Linked DNA regions of Neurospora crassa OR74A. The protein of the gene in region 1 binds, or shares a complex with, the protein of each later gene. Links are inferred from orthologs where the notes say so. Each region holds a gene or a part of one and is shown on either strand. Other genes may lie near its edges. The genes, in order: NCU00794 and NCU06468.

Evidence for each region.
Region 2: the proteins of NCU00794 (region 1) and NCU06468 are in contact, whole or in part, in a cryo-EM structure (PDB 6YLF), measured with the Saccharomyces cerevisiae proteins. The link is inferred for Neurospora crassa OR74A from reciprocal best matches to the Saccharomyces cerevisiae genes RSA4 and REA1. Residues at the interface, in NP_009997.2 of Saccharomyces cerevisiae: Leu29, Pro30, Asn31, Ala48, Leu49, Arg50, Val51, Pro52, Pro108; in NP_013207.1 of Saccharomyces cerevisiae: Glu4778, Thr4779, Cys4817, Glu4818, Asp4853, Met4854, Ser4855, Gln4856, Val4857.

Annotation. Positions count from the first base shown.
Region 1 is NC_026501.1:7,140,014-7,149,398, reverse strand, and holds NCU00794 (ribosome biogenesis protein Rsa4), read right to left. Parts: upstream 6,179-9,385; 5' UTR 6,028-6,178; coding exon 5,678-6,027; intron 5,618-5,677; coding exon 4,624-5,617; intron 4,559-4,623; coding exon 4,433-4,558; intron 4,368-4,432; coding exon 4,284-4,367; 3' UTR 3,581-4,283; downstream 1-3,580. Other genes in the region: NCU00795 (membrane bound cation transporter), read right to left, coding at 7,056-8,622, 8,725-8,885. UniProt on the Saccharomyces cerevisiae protein: Involved in ribosome biogenesis. Required for processing and efficient intra-nuclear transport of pre-60S ribosomal subunits.
Region 2 is NC_026503.1:1,510,710-1,518,918, forward strand, and holds part of NCU06468 (midasin), read right to left. Parts: coding exon 1-8,209. UniProt on the Saccharomyces cerevisiae protein: Nuclear chaperone required for maturation and nuclear export of pre-60S ribosome subunits.

The DNA.
Region 1 (9,385 bases):
TTTTTGTCGACTTCATCTAGTCTCGACACGGACGGAAAACTTCATTCCATTCTTCCCATCCTTTGGTCTTACCATCTCCCAGAAGCTTCAATCTTACTCGTTATCCTTCTATGTGACGGTCTGACCTGACCTCAGGATGCAGAACGGACTGCAGCTCCCATTTGACATGAGCATGACGTTCCCGTGCAATTCTCCCGATTTGGTCCTTCAACTTTGGTGAGACTCGAGATTGCAAAGGCCCGGTGTCAAACGTGCTTGCTTATCTCCTTCTTCTTCTTGGAGACGGTTGTGTCCATCTTTTCTGGACCAGTAAAGTGGTAAGCAGCCAAGGCCAAGCTGGGGCTTGCTTCGTTTCACCAACACCACTCATCACTTTACAACCACCATCCTCTTTTCTGATATCCTATCACGTAATCCTGCGTCTCCCGTCATTACGCAGCTTCCAAAAGGCCACATGTTTGCGGCAGCTGATGAGCTCAAGGAAACAGCTGTTAGCAAATAGGTCTTGGCCTCACCCAAACCGCATACCGGTGTAGCAACACGTTGAACGTAAAGATGCTCGTGATTGAATTCCACAGAGTCCGCAGCCTGTGGCCGAGGGAAGGAGTAACTGAAGGAAGGAACCCATCCAAATTCTGTGCTCGCCAAACAATACTTACTGCCTTAGACGCTTTTCGAGCTGGCACTAATATGACAGTGAACGTGACGTGCTTTGACCCAAGAGCCACGTTCGTAAACGTCCATCGAGTGTGAAATATACAAGTGCCGAGATCAACGCTGCGAGAAGATTGTTTATGCAAATGCAATCATACTGGGTTAGTGCAGACCGATGGCAGACGACCGAGCCTTAGTTACAAAAGACTGGCGCGTACACAATCGAGAGACCCTGGTTTTCTGTAGGATGGAAGTATCGTTCCCCACTGACCTATCAACCTGGATCAACACCTTGAAGTTCCCAGCACCATCACCTTTCTCAGCCCATCCATGTCTGCTACCTCCCGATCGAGGAACCGAAACTCATCGATGCGGTAGGGTTGTTTGTCTGGAATATAGGGCCAGGCTTCCCACAAGGACCTTTGTACGCCTCGACTCACGATGTAGGGGGATTGAGCGCTCTTGTTTTTGGAAATGTGAGTGGTGTACACATATCCGCAAGGCTGGTATCTTGCAGCATCGACAGGTATTCTTTTATTGCGTAACCGACTGGGGATCGGGTAATCCCTGAGCCCTAAACTAGAATAGCTCTAGTGCAATCATGGGGACATGGGAATGGAGGACGACAGTTGTATGTACATTTACAAACTCAGACACACGTGGGGAGAGGATCACTGGGGACGTACTTCCTGTGTGTAGATGGACGCAAGTCTTGAGTGTGAGAAGGGAAGAAACTGAACGAAGCTACCTCTACATAACGTTGCCCCATGTAGTGTCGTTGTATCCAAGCTCTTTGCATGAACCGCGAATATCAAATTGCCTCTGAAATCCTAGAATGATGGGGTATTTCACTCGAATACTACAGCCCATCCAAGTGAGTGGAGACAAAAGACAGGAACTCGGCCCAGCAGCCGGCTGTAAGACGCCGTCGATCCGGCAGGCGGTTTGATGGAGATGGTCAGAAAGTCAGAGGCGCATTGCATGCTTCCCAATTTCCGACCTGGCAAGCGACGGTGGGATGGGTTTTTGGTGAATGCGGTGCGATGCTATCAACACCAATGACCAACGGTATAGCGGTTGTTTTGCAACCCATTCATAGTATACTAGGTAGGTGGGTACACACACAGCCCAAGGCGAAGAAAAAGTCCCGAAAAAGAGACGATTTGATCGTGTCCCGAATGGACTCCCAGACCCCTTTGGTTGACGGACTCAAAGAAAGACATCATGAAGGACTGGGCTACACGAACACGGCATTGCATTGCTCAAAATCATTTATGAAATCTCCGGGCTCCGATCACGGGGTGAGGCAGAGAGGCGAGTCGAAAGGGCGTTTGAGGTTTTTTTGCGGTGACCATAACATACATTCTACCTGTAGGTAGGTAGCTCTGCCGTCGTTGACTTTCACTTGTTGTCGTCGTTCTTGCTGCTGTTGTTATTGATTTCGCGTCCGGCCGGCAGAGTCAAACTTTTCAAAACTTACCTATCCGGCCAGATCTTCAACGCGGTACCACTAGGGTGTCCAGTAGGATCGACAGCTTTCAAAACGTGCTGCTTGGACGGACTAGACCTGATGCCCGAACTGACGATCACCTATCCAGACCTCCATACCAGACAACTAGTGTACACTACACTAGAGGTAAAGTCGGGTCGGTCTCGCTTCATTCCGTGGATCGGCAGATCTGCAAAAGAAGCTGCCTGGCGGCGCTTGCCAGACCGGCTGTAAGCTAGGTGGTTGAGGATTTCAAATCGACTTTTCATGACAATATATGTTGAGAGGTGATGAAAGGACTTTGGTCAGATGAGGCTGGCCATGGCTTCAGCGTATACAAGTGAAAGTCGCGATATGCAAAGAGGATCGAAGGGGGTTGTTTCGCGTTGTGTTTCGATCGACAGACAACCAAGAAATAAACGTCTATCAGGGGCAATTCCTATCGATGACAGCAGAAGCGGGGGAGGGGAGATTTGGGCTTTTCTGTACCGGTCGGTGTATCCACTGACCAAGCCACCCATAGAAGGCGCAGCTGTCTAGGTACCTCTGTGTAGTTGACTTGTAGTGTGAAAAGGGAACTCCTGTTAAAAACGTCGCCCAAAAGCCCAGAACAATGCCCAGAGTTTCAGTTGCATGGAATCCATGGCTTGCCGTTTCAAGTGGGTGTGACACGAATGAATGAGGCAAGGCGTGTCCCGATATCTCCCGAGATACCACTGTATTTCGAAGGTTGCGGTTGGCTGTTGACGAAGGCTGGGGAACAAGGTTTTTAACCAGAAATTGGAAAAGGTTGGTTTTCTTTCTGGAGCACAAGGGCTTGTTGAAGATGGAAGCTTCCAATTCTTCCATCTCAACGTCGTATTGGTTGTTATTTCCACCATTCACTTGCCGCTCTGGAGGAAATAGCTCACTAAGTTTGCTAATCAAAGATGTCATCGCGAAAAGCATGAGGCATAACCGAATGCTTCTTTATTGGTGTGACGGACAAACTCAATCACAAAGAAATCGTGAGGCATTTGTGAACAACAAGAGAAAGTGACAAGAAAAGAAGAAACAGATGAAAATTGAAATCAATGACTGTTGGACTTGCCGTTTTCTAGCGTACATACGTTTTCCAGACTTGGGAAACATACCTTGAAAAGCGGGGGCGACGACGTTGGACCCGACGCGGCACGGCGGGGCGGGGAAGTGGAAGGCTGCCTCCTGCTCCCTCTTGCCTGCTACAGACCGGGACCCATAGGACCAGTGGCAGCTCCCGTCCGGGCCTTCGAAGGATGCTTCAGAAAAAAGAAAAAAAAAGGCTTGCAGTGTGCGTGGTTCTTGCTACCTCTGGTCTGTTGCTTCGGGAAAGTGAATCATATGCCGTCTTCGAAAGTTACATATTCGTAACTCTGAACATCAACGGCTGGTTCACTAGCTCCAAACGTCATGATTAAACAACGTCTCTCTAGGTTGCCATGAATGCATATCACTATCCTTGTCTATATCGTGGCACCTATGTAACGCCCTGCATGATGCGCGCAATGAGAACCATTCCATCAAATGCTCGCATCTATCAAACCTCAAATGGATACCCCCGGACATCGCTTAACATGACCACGTCTCTGTCTATCTATGGTGCTTTCCATTTTCCAAATCTTTCGAGCGTCTTGTTGGTCTTGGTGTGTGGTCGCGCGGTTTGGTAACATTGAACTGGCGGCGGGAGATTTTACCGATTTGCCAGGCCCATTCCATCGCCTCTTTCGCTCTTGCCCAGCGATTCGGAAAGTTTGGCAGAGGCGCAGTCGGTAAGCACTTAACAGCCACACAACATCACCACCCTGCGAGTCGAGGTGATGTGTGCAGCCGTGTTGCGTATTGACTCAGCAAGGCCTCTTTGGTGAGCCGATACTAGTAGCTAGGCTGACGTCAAGGAAACTTGGCTCGCGAAGATTGCCGTGAAAGTTGTTTCTGGCAGATACCTGGGCATGTAGTATCCCAAGCCGGCTCGTTCGTGCGAACGGCAAACTGCTGCAAACACCACGGAAGCAGGCCAGAAGTCATATCACCCCGCTGAGGCCTCCGCGAGTGAAGTAGAGCGGGGGCTCTCGGGTTCCGACTGCTGGCTGTAGGAGAGTAAGGTTCGTTCTTGCCCTCTTCTTTAGTTTCTCCATGTCCTCACGGCCTTATCCTTTCCGCCTGATCCTACCATCTTGCCATCCGGCGACCAGTCCACAGCGTATACCTGGAAGCGAGTTAGAATTTTCCAGCAGTGGGAACACCGATGTCGCCGTGATTTGGTTCACATACCTCGTCTTCGTGTCCGGGAAGGTCCATGGCGAGAGTGCCAGTGCGCACATTCCATGCCTTGAGGGTAGTATCTTTGCTAGCCGTAATCAGAAGCCTGCTATCGGCGGACCAGGAGCATTGGTAGACCTGAAGTATCAACGCGTTAGAACTTTCCCCTCGTGGTAAGAGATGAATGTGGGTAAGGAACTCACGGGTGCAACATGACCCCTCAAGCTCTTGAGGAACTTGCCATCCCTGGCATTCCAGAGCTTCACGCTGTTATCCCAACCAACCGAGGCGATCAAAGTGCCATCGGGAGAGAATTGGACCTGGTTCACCTTGTTCTGGTGTCCCAAAAGTCTAGCAACGGGCTTGGTACCGTTGTTGGTGGGGTCCCACAGGTACATGGTAAAGTCGTCACTGGCAGATACGATGCGCTCAGCAACCTTGCCATTGATCTTGGCCGCTCTCTCGAAACGCTCCTTGGCCTTCTCCCTCCTGCCCTCCTCGGTGGAAGGGACGTCCTTGGTGTGGTCAAAGTAGGCGGTCCTCAGGGCGTGGTCGCTGGACAAACCAATATGGTTGATCCAGTGGGCGTGAGATGTCAAGCTGTGTACCAAGGTGCCCTTGACGGCGTCGAATACCCGGACAACCTTATCGTGCGAACCCGTGTAGATGAGGTCGGTTCCACCCCATCGCACGCAGGCGACGGAGCTCCTGTGACCGCTCAGGACGTGCTCGGTACGGCCTGTGTTGACAACCCAAATCCTACAGGTACCATCCTTGCTAGCACTGGCAATCCTAGGGGTGCCGTCTCTCCACAAGTGGTACGGCTGCCACGCCGTCATCAACACCCATTTGGCGTGGCCCTTGAAAGGCTGACCAACGGGCTTGCCGGCCTCGGGATCCCATATCCTCACTGTGCCATCCATGCTGCAGGTCGCTAGTTGCTCTCCATCGGGTCTCCAGCTGACGCCGAGGACCCAGCCGGTGTGCCCTTTCAATGTGTGCTTCGGGGTACCTGTATTTGTATCCCAAATACGAGCTGTGTTGTCGCCGCTGCCGGTAGCAAGGCGTCCGGATGAAATAGGCGAGAACTGGGCTGCGAGGATGGGTTGGCCGTGACCGGGAATGCGATGGGCAAGGCGCGAAACTGCTTGTACCCTGAAAACAGCCTGGGGCTCGGCACTAAGAGTAATTGTGGTTCTATGCGGAGGTTAGCGAAGCAGTTACGTGCTGGGCTTCCTGTGTCCGGGTCTTGCATACTCGAAGGGGTTCTCGACACCATGCTGCTTGAGAAGGCCGAGGAGGTCGGAAGGGTACTGGTCGACAATGATATCCTTGCCGGGAATATGGATGCGGAATCGGTATGGGGTGAACTCTTCGCGGTCCCTCTCGAGCAGGGTGTTGAGCAAGACGGAGATGTTCTTTTCGGTGGCATCGGCAAAGTTGATTTCGATGACATCGGTCATCTGGTTGCCATCGCTGTCGACGAAGTTGGCCTTGAAGGAGCCGAGCTCAGGCGCCAGTATCGGGGCGACATCGAGCTGTGTTGTGGTGCGCTCAATCTCCTCTCTCTTTTGGCGCTTCGACGGGGGTGGTAGTACTGTCGCCATCTTGGATTATGTTGTGCCAGAAGTTGTCGCTGAAAGTGTGTTGCGATACTCGCCCGACTTCCAGGAAGTGTTGATGGATTGGGGGCCTTCTGGGTTTGCACTGGACTTGCTGCCCCTGCAAAGGCTGGACCCAGCAGAATGCGGACAGTCCAAAATTTTGGCGGTGATGGCGTGCAAAACTGGCTTGGCATGTCCAGTTCCAATGGAGCTCTGACCCACACTTGCTTTCCCCATGTCTCCACAGGGGCATCACGAAGCTGGGCCAGGGCTGTTTACGATTTAGCGCTGTTAGTGCGTCTGCATCCAAACCTTCCACTTGAACCATCGGGCATCATCCCATGTCATCATCATCCCATCTCCAAACATTCCAACACTCCGAGTCAACTCCCACTTGTCGTCACCACTGCTTCCCAACAGCTGTTATACTGTATACCCTACGTGATCTCCCATCTATGTATGAACCCAGCATGAGCATCGCCCGGCTGTTCTTGACTCCTCCGGAGGGGATTCATGTTCCGACATGACGCCTTTTTGTTTCTCTATACTACTACACAAGGCACAAAAATTCATTTCTCTCCCTTTGTCTAGGTGACCCAGACCCTCAAATATCGCCCACGTCCAGAGGAATCGCTATACCCTGGATTCCCTTCACCAGGATACTCGTCAACTATCTCTACTTATTGACCAAACTTCTCATTCCCCTCGCTTCTCATTGACCGGCAGTCCCGATATTCCAGGCTGCCCGGGTTTTCGCTTTCCCAATGCCACTTGCAAAGTATTGCGGCTGCTGCTGGTCCCAAGTCGGGTACGGTCACGGCTGGCACTGGCTCTGGTACTAGCTTTGATACTGCATCTGATGCGGCCTCTGCTACGACAATTACTGATATGGCTGTTGGCAAAAGCCTAAACCTCCTTAGTCAAGACAAACTACTCCTTCGGTCTGGGCCTCAACCATAACCGTTCATCTGTCATCCGAACCTAGGTAGCCTACACACTCCGACCTCCCATCCTAAATTCTGTCTTCACCCTTACCCAACAGAGCTAGCCAACCTTGGATTTGGCAAGTAAAACGCTGCCACGGCGATAATGAGGTAGGCAGATGCCAAAAGTGCTCCCTCGAGGTAGTTACTCCTCCCATCTCTAACGAGAAAATTCACAATGAAGGTGCTAACGAACATGCAGACAGTCTCGAAGAGGGTAAAGTAGAGAGACATGTCTCGATCCATGATCCAGCCCAAGATAACCACTACCGGCGTCACAAACAGCGCAATCTGGATACTGCTGCCCAGTGCCACGCCCAGTGCCAAGTCCATCTTGTTCTTGAGTGCCACGCTCACAGATGTGATGTGTTCAGCTGCATTGCCTACAATGGGGATGAGCACTAGACCGATGAAGGCTTCAGAGATGCCTGTAGTTGCATTGGCATCCCGGGCGACGATTGCATCGATGGAGTCCACCATGAACTCGGCACAAACGGCGACCAAGCCGGTCGAGGCCAGAAGAAGGATTACGGCGGCTTTCTGTGGCATGGCTTCGACCTCTGTTGTCTCTTGGGCCGCTGGCTTTTCCTCACTGTTGCGAGGCGAGGCCGGTGTGCTGTCAACCACAATGGGGACTACTACCGGCAATTGGCCGGGTGCCTGTCGATTGCTCGCAGCCCTCTGTGTTCGAGTCGGCATAGACTGGACACGCCGCAGTGGCTGTCCTTGTGCATTATGCTCCGGTTGCTCTGCTTCGTTGGGGTTCTCCAGCATGGAGGCAACAGCAGTTGAGATCGGCCGGAGCGATCTGAGTAGAAACGGCGCAGCACGAGAGGCCGTGTCCCACTGTGCCTCTAGGTCACTGGCCAGACCAAGACCAGCATGATGTTCGTTGGTCCCAGAATTTTGGTCTCGGCCTTGCGACGGCTCAACGTCTTTTGTTTCACCCTGCTGGCCTGGGCCTCTTGCATCATCGGCAGCGAACGTGTCAGTATCAGGCTGGCCAGCAGGGATGAGTTCCTGCGTCTGGTGTAGCGTGTCATCTGTGACAGCTTCCGTCCTTTCGGCGGCGTCGTGCTCTGTTGTGGTTGCACCCCTGCTGTTCTCCTGTCTTCCAGCTGTGCCACCATCTTCGTTCGACATGGCTTGGGGCGCTTGTAATGCGTTCTCATCAGGAGTCCTAGGTGGAGATGAAGACGAGTTACGTCTAGAGCTGAAGTAATGAGCTGCGGGGCCGGGTGCCGCTGCTTGTTCGATCAAGTGTCTTGGCGTTGGTGCGTACAAATAGGAGTGCGACTGTAGCTGGAAGATGAGGTAAAGGAGGTAGATAACGAGCAGGATGACACTGGTTCCCCGGCTGAGCGGCAGAACCTTGATATCCGCCTCCTGCTCGTTTTTAAACGTGGCGTGGAACGCGGTTGGGAGCATCAAGCTCAGCACACTCAGCGTGAGCAAACAAGCGCTCATCTGGGTTACGGTGCTGTTGTAGATCTGCTCGCGGAATCGCAAACCGCCCCAAATGAAGCACATTCCCAGGATTAACAGGAGATCAACCAAAATTGATCCAACGAGAGAGGCCTGGACGATCCGGATTTCATTCTTCACGAGCGCAATGCTGTTGTTTGCGCACCCTTCGTCAGCTTTAAGCCCTTTCTGATCGGCTCAGTACCTCGAAAGACGTTGTGAAAGAGCCTGTGGGGGATCAAAGTTCACTCACATGAAAATGATTAGCTCGACAGCGTTTCCAAAGGTGACGTTCATCAAGGCAGCAACCGTGTCACCGCAACGACCGGCTACGCTTTCCGTTGCGTGGCTGAGGAGCCCGGCCAGAGGAATAATTGCCACAGCGTTCATGCCGAATACCACGCCAGCCGGCATGGACGTGAAGTCTGCGGTGACAACCTCAAGGGAATCAGCAATCTACCTGTAGGGATCTCACGCAAGCAGCACATGACGGCCACGAACTGCTACAAGTGTAGCTCATTCTGAAGGGTTAGGCGAGGTACCTCCTTGGAGCCTAGCCCTGAGAAGAGCCACTGGTGTACGGCGTTCTAGCCTTGGAGATAGCCTAGACCGCCCAGTGCCCTATAACGAGGAGGATGTAAAGTGGATACCGGTGAACTTACGGACGGCAAATGCTACTGGTACAAAGACCAGTCCTATGTTCAAGAAGCGCGAGAAAAGAATTCCGTTGGCGCAGGTGTAGAAGCGCGCCAGTGCCGAGGGCTTCTTTGCTTGTAGCTCTTCAGATATCACTGCACCGTGGCGGCCAGTCTCGGCTGTCGAAATCGTGCCATGGCGGCTGTGACTTGCTCTGAAAATCGGCGCAGCATCAGACCTAGTGCGCACCAGAGGCGTTGGGCCATGAGCTTTTGCCC
Region 2 (8,209 bases), on another chromosome or scaffold:
TTCGCATTTCCTTGAGCATCCCGAGCATCGTCCATGACGATGAAAACAACCATTACGCGCTGCTCCATTGCCTCTCTTAGTAAGGGGCGAAGGCGCGCGTGGTCTTTACTCTGAACAAGACCGTCAGACAGGATAAGGGCGAGTTGCCAGAGATCTTCCCCTCCCGACTGAGAGGCCGAGGTGAGGCGCGCGTCGCGGAAGTGATCGATGGTTCGCCGCAAGAGGTTGACCATGTCCGTGCCCTCTTGTTTGAAAGTGAATTGCTGCAAGACCCTGGCGCCCGCGTCGTGAGAGGCAAAGGGGTCGGTGAGACGGTGCGCGACAAAGACGTCGGTGCCGAAACCGAGGACGCCGACTTGGCCTACTTCTAGCATGGTAAGCGCGCGGGAGGTCATGACGAGCGACTCCAAAGCCAAGCGGCCGGCGGAACCGGAGTTGTTGAGCGAGTCGCCCATGGATTGGGAGTCATCCACACAGAGCAAGATCTGGTAGGAGCGCTTGGTCGGGATGGCGCGGCGCATCCAGATCTTGTCGCGCTTGTAGGAGGAGGCGATGTAGGGAATGATCTTCTTGATGTTGAGGCGCTTGCCGGTGCGGAAGGAGCCGGAGAGCTTGGTGGATTGCGAAGGGGTGAGGATCAGGCGGAGTTGAGAAGACAAGGACATGGAGAGGGATTGCGTCTTGGTTTGGAAGGTGGTCCACATGGAGAGGGCCTCGTTGAAGTCGCGCAAGGGGCGAGGTGGTTGGTCTTCGAGGTGGATGGCGGAGAGCTGGGTGGACGATTCTTCGTTGATCGCCTCGTCTAGGTCGCCTTCCTTTGCGCTGGCCTTGCGGGCGTCGGAGTCCTCATCGTCAGAGTCTTCGAAGGCACCTTGGTGAGTGGCGACGCCGGAACGGCCGTCCTTGCGGTCCTCCTTGGGAGCGTCGGTGGAATCAGGGGCCTCGGCATCTTCCATGTCCACGTCCTCTTGCTTGTTGTCCTCGGCAGCGGGTTCATCCTCGGGTAAGACGTGGTTGTTGGCGTCTTCCATCTCGGTGTCAATGGCCATGGCATCGTCCATGGGACGAACTTCCTCATCATTGGCGGTGCCCAGAGCCTGGGTGTCGGGCTCGGCGTCTTCATCCTGCAAGTGCTGGAATTCAACCTTGGCCATGTCGACGTCGGGCTTCTGCTGCTCCTCCTTGCTTTCGGGGGCGTTGCGAATGTCGCGCTGGTTTCTGTACCATCTGTCGAGAGCATCACCGAGCTTCTTGAATGGTTGGCTGCTGGCCTCGGTCTCTTGATCCTCATTGGGGCCCTCCTGCTGCTCAGTCCTCGACTGCTCACCCTTGGAACCGGGGGCGTTGTCTTGGTCAGAGGACTGGTTGTTGACAGCACCTTGCTCACGCTGGGCGGCCTTGTTGTCGGCAGTATCGTCCTGCATGTCGTTCTGGTCATCTTGAGCAAGACCACCACCCGTCTTGACATCGCTGGGAGCAGCGTTATCGTCATCCGCCTGAGCCTGGTCATCGTTCAGACCGGGCTGTTCCTTCTCCTTGTCCTCCTCCTCCTTGTCCAAATCCTGCGGGGCATCTTCATCTTGCTCCTCCTCCTTGTCCATGTCCACATCCATGTTATCCTCATCCATAGGGTTCAGATCATCCGTCTCTTCAGCCTCAGCTTCCTCAGGCTTCTCTGCATCCTTCTGCTCCTCAAGCTGCTGCTCCTCCTCCACACCATTCGGCGCCTGCTCCTCTTCCATCTCTCCATCCTGCGGCTTCTCACCATCCTCCAGGTCATCCAAGTTATCCTCCTCCTCATCCTCTCCATCGCTGATATCAATCTGCATATCATCCGGCAACGCTAGGGTATCCTGCTCCTGCACATTCTGGTCCTGATTATTCAGTTCCTCCTGTGGCTGGGCGTCACCCTCCTGCTCCTGTCCCGGCTCACCTTCCTCCTCATCCTCGTTCTCCTCCTCACCCTCCTTCTTCTCCTTCTTTTCCTCCTCCTCACCCACCGCTTCCTCGCTCTCCTGCTGCTGCTCCTTCTTCTCCTTCCCTGGTTCCGCAGCAGCCTGCTCATCCTCATCCTGCTTGCCGCTATTATTCTCACCCTTCTGATCCTTCTCCGCATCCTCTTCATCTTTACCATCCCACATCTTCTCATCGACAGCAGTAGGATCGAGATCATCGACACCACCCGCCTCCTCGTCCATCTCATCATCCTCCTCATCATCACTACCATCCTTATCCTTCTGGTTCTCTTCATCTTCCTCTTCAGCCTTCACGCTCCCCATGTCTCCCTCGAGATCATCCTCACCCATGTCCACCGCGTCGGGGTTATCCTCGATATCGTTCTGGTTCTTGTTATTCTGATCCTGCGCGAGCTCGGAAAGGTCCTCGTCATCCTTGATATCCTTGCTGATATCCTCTGCTCCCTCACCGTCACCCAGACCGGTGCCGCTCTGCACGTCACCAGATTCACCGGACTTTTCCTTGCTCTCTTCTTGGGGAGAGCAGAAGCCTTGCTTGGCGATGACGATGAAGCTGTTGCTGAGGGTGTAGCCCAGACGGCAGGTGGACCGGTGCAGGTCGGCGTACTGAGCGAGGTTCTGCTGGCACGTGGCGGCGTACTGCTCGAGCATGGGCAGGATGGCGCGCAGGAGCGCAGTCTCGGCGTCCCGGACGGCAGGCTGGGACAGGTCGGAGGTCTTGAGCAGGCGGAGGATGCCGTCGACTTCGGAGGTGATGCGCGGCATGGCAAGGGTGTTGATGGCCTTCTCGAGGCCTTCGCTGTGGGCCAGGAACCAGCCGGCGTCTTCTTGGCTTTGGGGCAGGTTCTTGACGGCTTCAGGGAACTTTTGCAGGGCGACAAGGATGCGGCTGGACAGGTCCAGGGCGGACTTGGCGAACTCGTCGATGGTGGTTTCCTGAAGCTCGTTGGCGATGGCGACGGTTTGGGCGCTGGTCCAGAGCTGGACTTGGCGGATGACGAATGCCATGTCGGGTCTTTCGAGCAAGAGACTGCTGAGGCTTTCGCGAAGACCGTCGAGCTCCTTCTCGGCATCGCTATGAAGCTGCTCGAGAGCGGAGGAGCTGAAACCGGTAGGCAGACGAGGCAGGCTTTCCTGCTTGGTGGCCAAAGTGGCGAACGTATCGAGCCAATGCTGCAACTTGCTGCGAACTTGATCATTGCTGATATCGCCGAGCTTGCCGTGGACGTCGACCATGTAGACGGCGAACTTGAGGATCTGGACAAGCCAGCGCAGGACACGACCGTGGTTCGTTAAGCTCTTCTGCGACTGAATAGCCACCTCGCCGCCACGGCCTGAGACCTCCTTGGTGAAAGTAATGGCTTGGGCAAGAGCACGCTCCGCTTCAGCTGTGCGGGAGAGATACATGCGCTGCTTGAACATAACGTACAGAATACCCTCGAGGAAACCAATGGAACGGTGGACGATCTCGCGGTTAAGATCATCGTTGTGTTCGAAGGTAGCCTGGCGGAACTTGGGCGCCAAGTCGAGCATCTTGTGGTAGAAGTACTCGATGGCGTTGAGCTGCGACTCGCTCAGGTGGGGAACAAGACCCGAGTGGACGAGCACGGCGTGAGCAGACTTTTGGCGGTCGAGAATGGTGGTGCCCAGGTTACGACTGAAGCCCATCTCGCGAAGAGTCTTGAGCGTGTCGGTGTAGAGCTTAGTCTTTCTTGTCTTCAAGTGCGCCACGGCCTCCTTGTTTTCGTCAGTGAGGTGCTGGGGAGTCTCCTTGCGAAGCTCAGCCATCTCGGTGACCAACGAGGTGATGTATTCGTCCAAGTTGCTGGGGATCTCCACGGCCGAAGCAGGCAGCGAGCCAAACTTGCCCATCATCTTGAGGACGCCGGGAAGGTTGGTGATTCTTGTCCACTGCTGTTGGCTCTCTAGAGATGGAATGAGCTGCAAGACAAGGGCGATAGCCTCCTGGTCAGCTTGGACAGCGGCCTTGTCGACGATTGCCACGAGGCTCTTGTGCTCTTCCTCGGGAAGGCCTTGCTCGGTTATGCCGCTCACAGGCTGGGAAAGTACACCACGGAACTTCCTCACCAGCTTGAAAAGCTTCTGATGAGACTTGCGCGCACTAGCCCTGAGCGCCTCGATGTTCTTATCTCTCCACTTCGACAGTAGCAACACATCCTTCATCTTCCTGTCCAAGGGAGTTCTGCCGGCGGCGATAGCCTCCTTGACCTTGCGCTCGTACCTGGCGTGATAGGTGATGAAATTCTGGACAGCATCGCGGATGACGCTCAACTGAGGCTCATCCACCATCAGCAGCTCCAGCTGGTTTCTGAGCTGTCTGAGAAGGTTCAGACGAGAGGTGAACTGGCCGAGACTGGCAGTGTTAAAGTAGGATTCCAAAGCACCCAAGAGCTCGACCGCGTACGCATACAGATCCTTGCCCTCCTGCAACCACGAGCACGGCTGGAGGATGACGGCGCCGTAGGCGATGAACCACCAGGACTTGGCATCGTCGTGGCATTTCTTGGCTTCGGCGTCGAGCAGTCTCGACCAGCTGGACAGCTCGAGACGGCGCCAGTCGCAGATGGTATCGCGCAGCTTCTCATACAGGACGGTGGCCTTGTGCGCCTTGGTGGCCCAGCCGCCTTCGTGCCACTCGTACACGTGCGCGTAGAGCTTCTCCATGGGGGAGATGATGGCGGCCAGGGGATCGTCGATAGACATGTCGAGCACCTTGTCGCAAGCGATGATGACGTCGGCGAGAGTTTGATGGTGGCCGATTTCTTCGATGGTCTGTAGCTCCTGGAAGCGCTTCTTGAGGGCGGTGACGAGAGTGAGGGCCTTGCGGACCTCGACGAGGATAGAGTCGGTATAGAAGTTGTAGTTGTTGGAGTCAACGTTGGCGCTGAAGGCCTTGATCTGGTCCTCGAAGGCGAGGATGGTGGCGGGCAGAAGCAAGGCGTCCATCTCGGGCTCGCCAGCGGCGGCGTTGCGCTCCGCACGGGCAATCCTGCGAGCAACTTGGGTAAGCAAGATGCGAATGCTCTGCTGGGGCTCCTGAGGCGAGAGGAAAATCTTCTCATGAGCTTCCGCCAGCAAGATGGACAGGTCGCGGTTGCCGCGAGGAATCTGCTTCTTCTTCTTGGGCGCGTCGGCATCCTGCTCCTCGTCGTCGTCTACGTAGTCAGGGAACAGCTGATCGAATTCTTCTTGGTCAAAGGCCTCTTCATCTTCCAGACTCCCCTTGAAGCGGAACAAGCTGTTCTTCTGCTCTTCGGCCTTACGATCGGCCTCCAGCTTCTTGCTCCACTCCTCATGGAAAGCATAGAAGGACTCGTGTACAGCCTGTCTGAGGTTCTCCGGCAAGCTATCAATACCTTCGACGGCAACGATGGCCTGAACAAATGAGAGGAATTCAAGCGAGCGGAGAGGCAAGCTCTTAGCCTCAGCGTCCCAGACAGTACCGCTAAGGAAAGGGGTGGCCTTGACCATGCTCTTGAAATCGGTTTCGTCGGAGCTCTTGGCAGGGACGGCACCCTGGCCGAGCGAAAGACCAAGCTGCAAGCAGCGCAAGAAGCTAACCAGCGGCATCGTCAAGTCCTGGTAGGCATTGAAGCGACCAATGAAGCGGCCAACAAGAGCAACAAGGTTCCTCTCAACGAGGGAAAGCTCCTCGGAAGCATCCTCAGCGTCGGTGGAAATGGAGCGCAGATGCGAAGCAGCCACGTCGTTCTGTACAAGGGCATTCAGAACATTGTTGAACTCTCCCTGCAGGCCACGAAGCTCCGAGTCGCCAGGGCGGTAGATAGACTGAACAGCAGGCGGCTCCCCAAGACCAGCAACTTCTTCCATGAGAAGCTTGCAGCGGAGACCGGCGTGCTGGCCGGTGAAGGCAAGCTCAAACGCCTCGAGAGCAGCGATCTGTTGCTGCAGGCTTTCGTAGATCTCGCGGTGCTCCTCCTGCTCGATCTCAGCGCGGTGGTGAGGATCGAAGATCTTGTCGGGAATGAAGAGCTTGATGGACGCAAGAGAGAATTGAACCCAAGCGACGGAAGTGTATGCAGAGCGAGGCTGGAGACCCTTCTCGGCGGCGGCCAGGGCTCTCAAAGCCTTGTAGAAGTGCCTCTCAAAGATGACAACGAGGTGCTGAGGCCACTGAGTGGTATCAATCGCAAAGTTGGTTCCCTGTTCGAGGAGAGCAGCGAGCTCAGCCACCTGGACATTGCCCATCTCATTCATAAGACCATGGAAGAAAGGCACGACGACGCCCTTGCAAAGATCGCCATGAGCAGCCATTATCTCCTCCATCAGCTTCAGCAACAGCCGCTCCGTCTTCTTCAGCGAATCGGTAGCCAGAGCATCGGAAGACTTGGCGAGGATCTTGCCCATGATAGGCAACTCGGTCTCCAAAGAATGCAACTCGTGCATGCTGGCTGAGGAAGTGGCATCGTACTTGAGCAAGAGCGACCTGGACAGGGTACCAGTCCAAGGACGAACCTCACTATCCTGGGCAAGCAAGCAATCGACCAACTGCAGCGGCGAAGACCCCGAAGCGCGGAGACGCATCAGAGCAACAGTGGGGAGGTTGGAAAGCACGTCGATATCAGACAGAGCGGGCAAAACGACCTCGCCGTCCTCCGTAACTTGGTGAAGAACAAGAGCCTGTCTAAGTGCCTCAAAAGTGGAAGCAAAGAACGGCTCGTGAGTCCATGGATGTTGACCAATTCTAGCCTCGAGGGTGGAAATCTCCGACTCGAGTTCCCTGACAAGCGCAGAGGCATCACCTCTTCCGCTGCGAACGACGGTATATGCCCTAGCCATAGCTTCCTGAACGCTTCTCAGAGTGGGGATGGAAGCATCAGCCTTCCAGCGCAGCGAATCGAACCGATCAGCAAGTCTCTCCATCTCAATGACCTGCTTCAAACACTCCTGATCAGCGACCGGCTCAGGACGCAGCTGATTCCACAGCGCCTCCATACTGAGACCAGTCGAAAGCTTGAAGCCGACGACAAAGTCGCGCTCGAGATACTCCAAGATGGTAGCAAGCATCTTGCGATCATCAGCCTCTTGCAGAACGGAAAGGGCCTTCCTCAGGAGGTTAGAGCCCTGCGTCAAGTGCGCCTGGAAACGGGCCTCCTCGAACTTGGCATTAGGCACGATGAGCGCCTCGAAGGTGCGCGTCCAGAAGAGCATCAGACGCCTCAAGATGGCGCGACGCTCCTTCCAGGCTCTGGACTCGTTAATGGTCTCGCTCATGTAGGCCTTGAACAGCTTGAGCATAGAGGCCAGGAAGCGGGCGGCGTTGACAGTGGAGTCGCGAGAGAGCGAGGCGACCTTGTCGGCGATCCAGGAGCGCTGGAGGCGGTTGAGTTGGGACGGCTTGCTGACATTGACTTTGCCAAGCTGAGCTTCCATGGCGGACTGGGCGGATTGGATGTCGAGGTAGAGCTCGTAGCAGCCGGCGATCCAGGCCGCCAGACCCTCGCGATCCTGCTCGAGAAGAGGAATCATAGGCGGGTTGAGCAGAGGGTGGAGAGGCATGAGCATCTTGTTAGGGGCAGAGCCGTACAGAGAGGCAACAGCCTGTCTCAGCGCACCGGCATCTTCAGCACTGATGTAAGACAAAAGCTGAGCGAGACGTTGGCTAGCAGCGGGAGACTTGATCAGGCCGTTGGTAGAAGCTTGCATGAAGGCCTCGAGGAGTCTGGTATCACCAAGAGAGAGGACATCAAATGCCAGAGGAGCAAGGACATCCGCGTTCTCAGCGCCGTTCAGGATTCTCGTGGCAGTGTGGAAGCGTTGCAAACTGCCATCAACAGGCGCAATAGTCTGATGACCGGCGTTCTTTGCCTCCCAAGGCGCACCTTCGAGATAGATTTCAACGGAACGGTTCCTCATGGCACGCGAAAGCTCGCCGTAACGGGGATCAACAGTAAGGAAGATTCTGAAGTCAGGATGAGGGGTCAAGATGCGCGGCTCGCCACCGGGACCGCTGTGCTCGTTGATGCTCAGGGAGCCATTGGGACGCTCGAGAAGGGAGTTGAGTCTATCAAGCACGGAGGCACTGCACAGGTTGGCGTTATCTAGCACCAACCAAGCACCAGTCTCGACAGCCCGGACAATGACACCATCAAGCCACTCGAAGCGAGGGTTTTCCAGAGTCAGAGGCTTGCGGAGCAGCTCAGCAGTCTCGGAAAGAAGAGGAGCGAGTTCACCGGCCTCAGGGAGGAGGT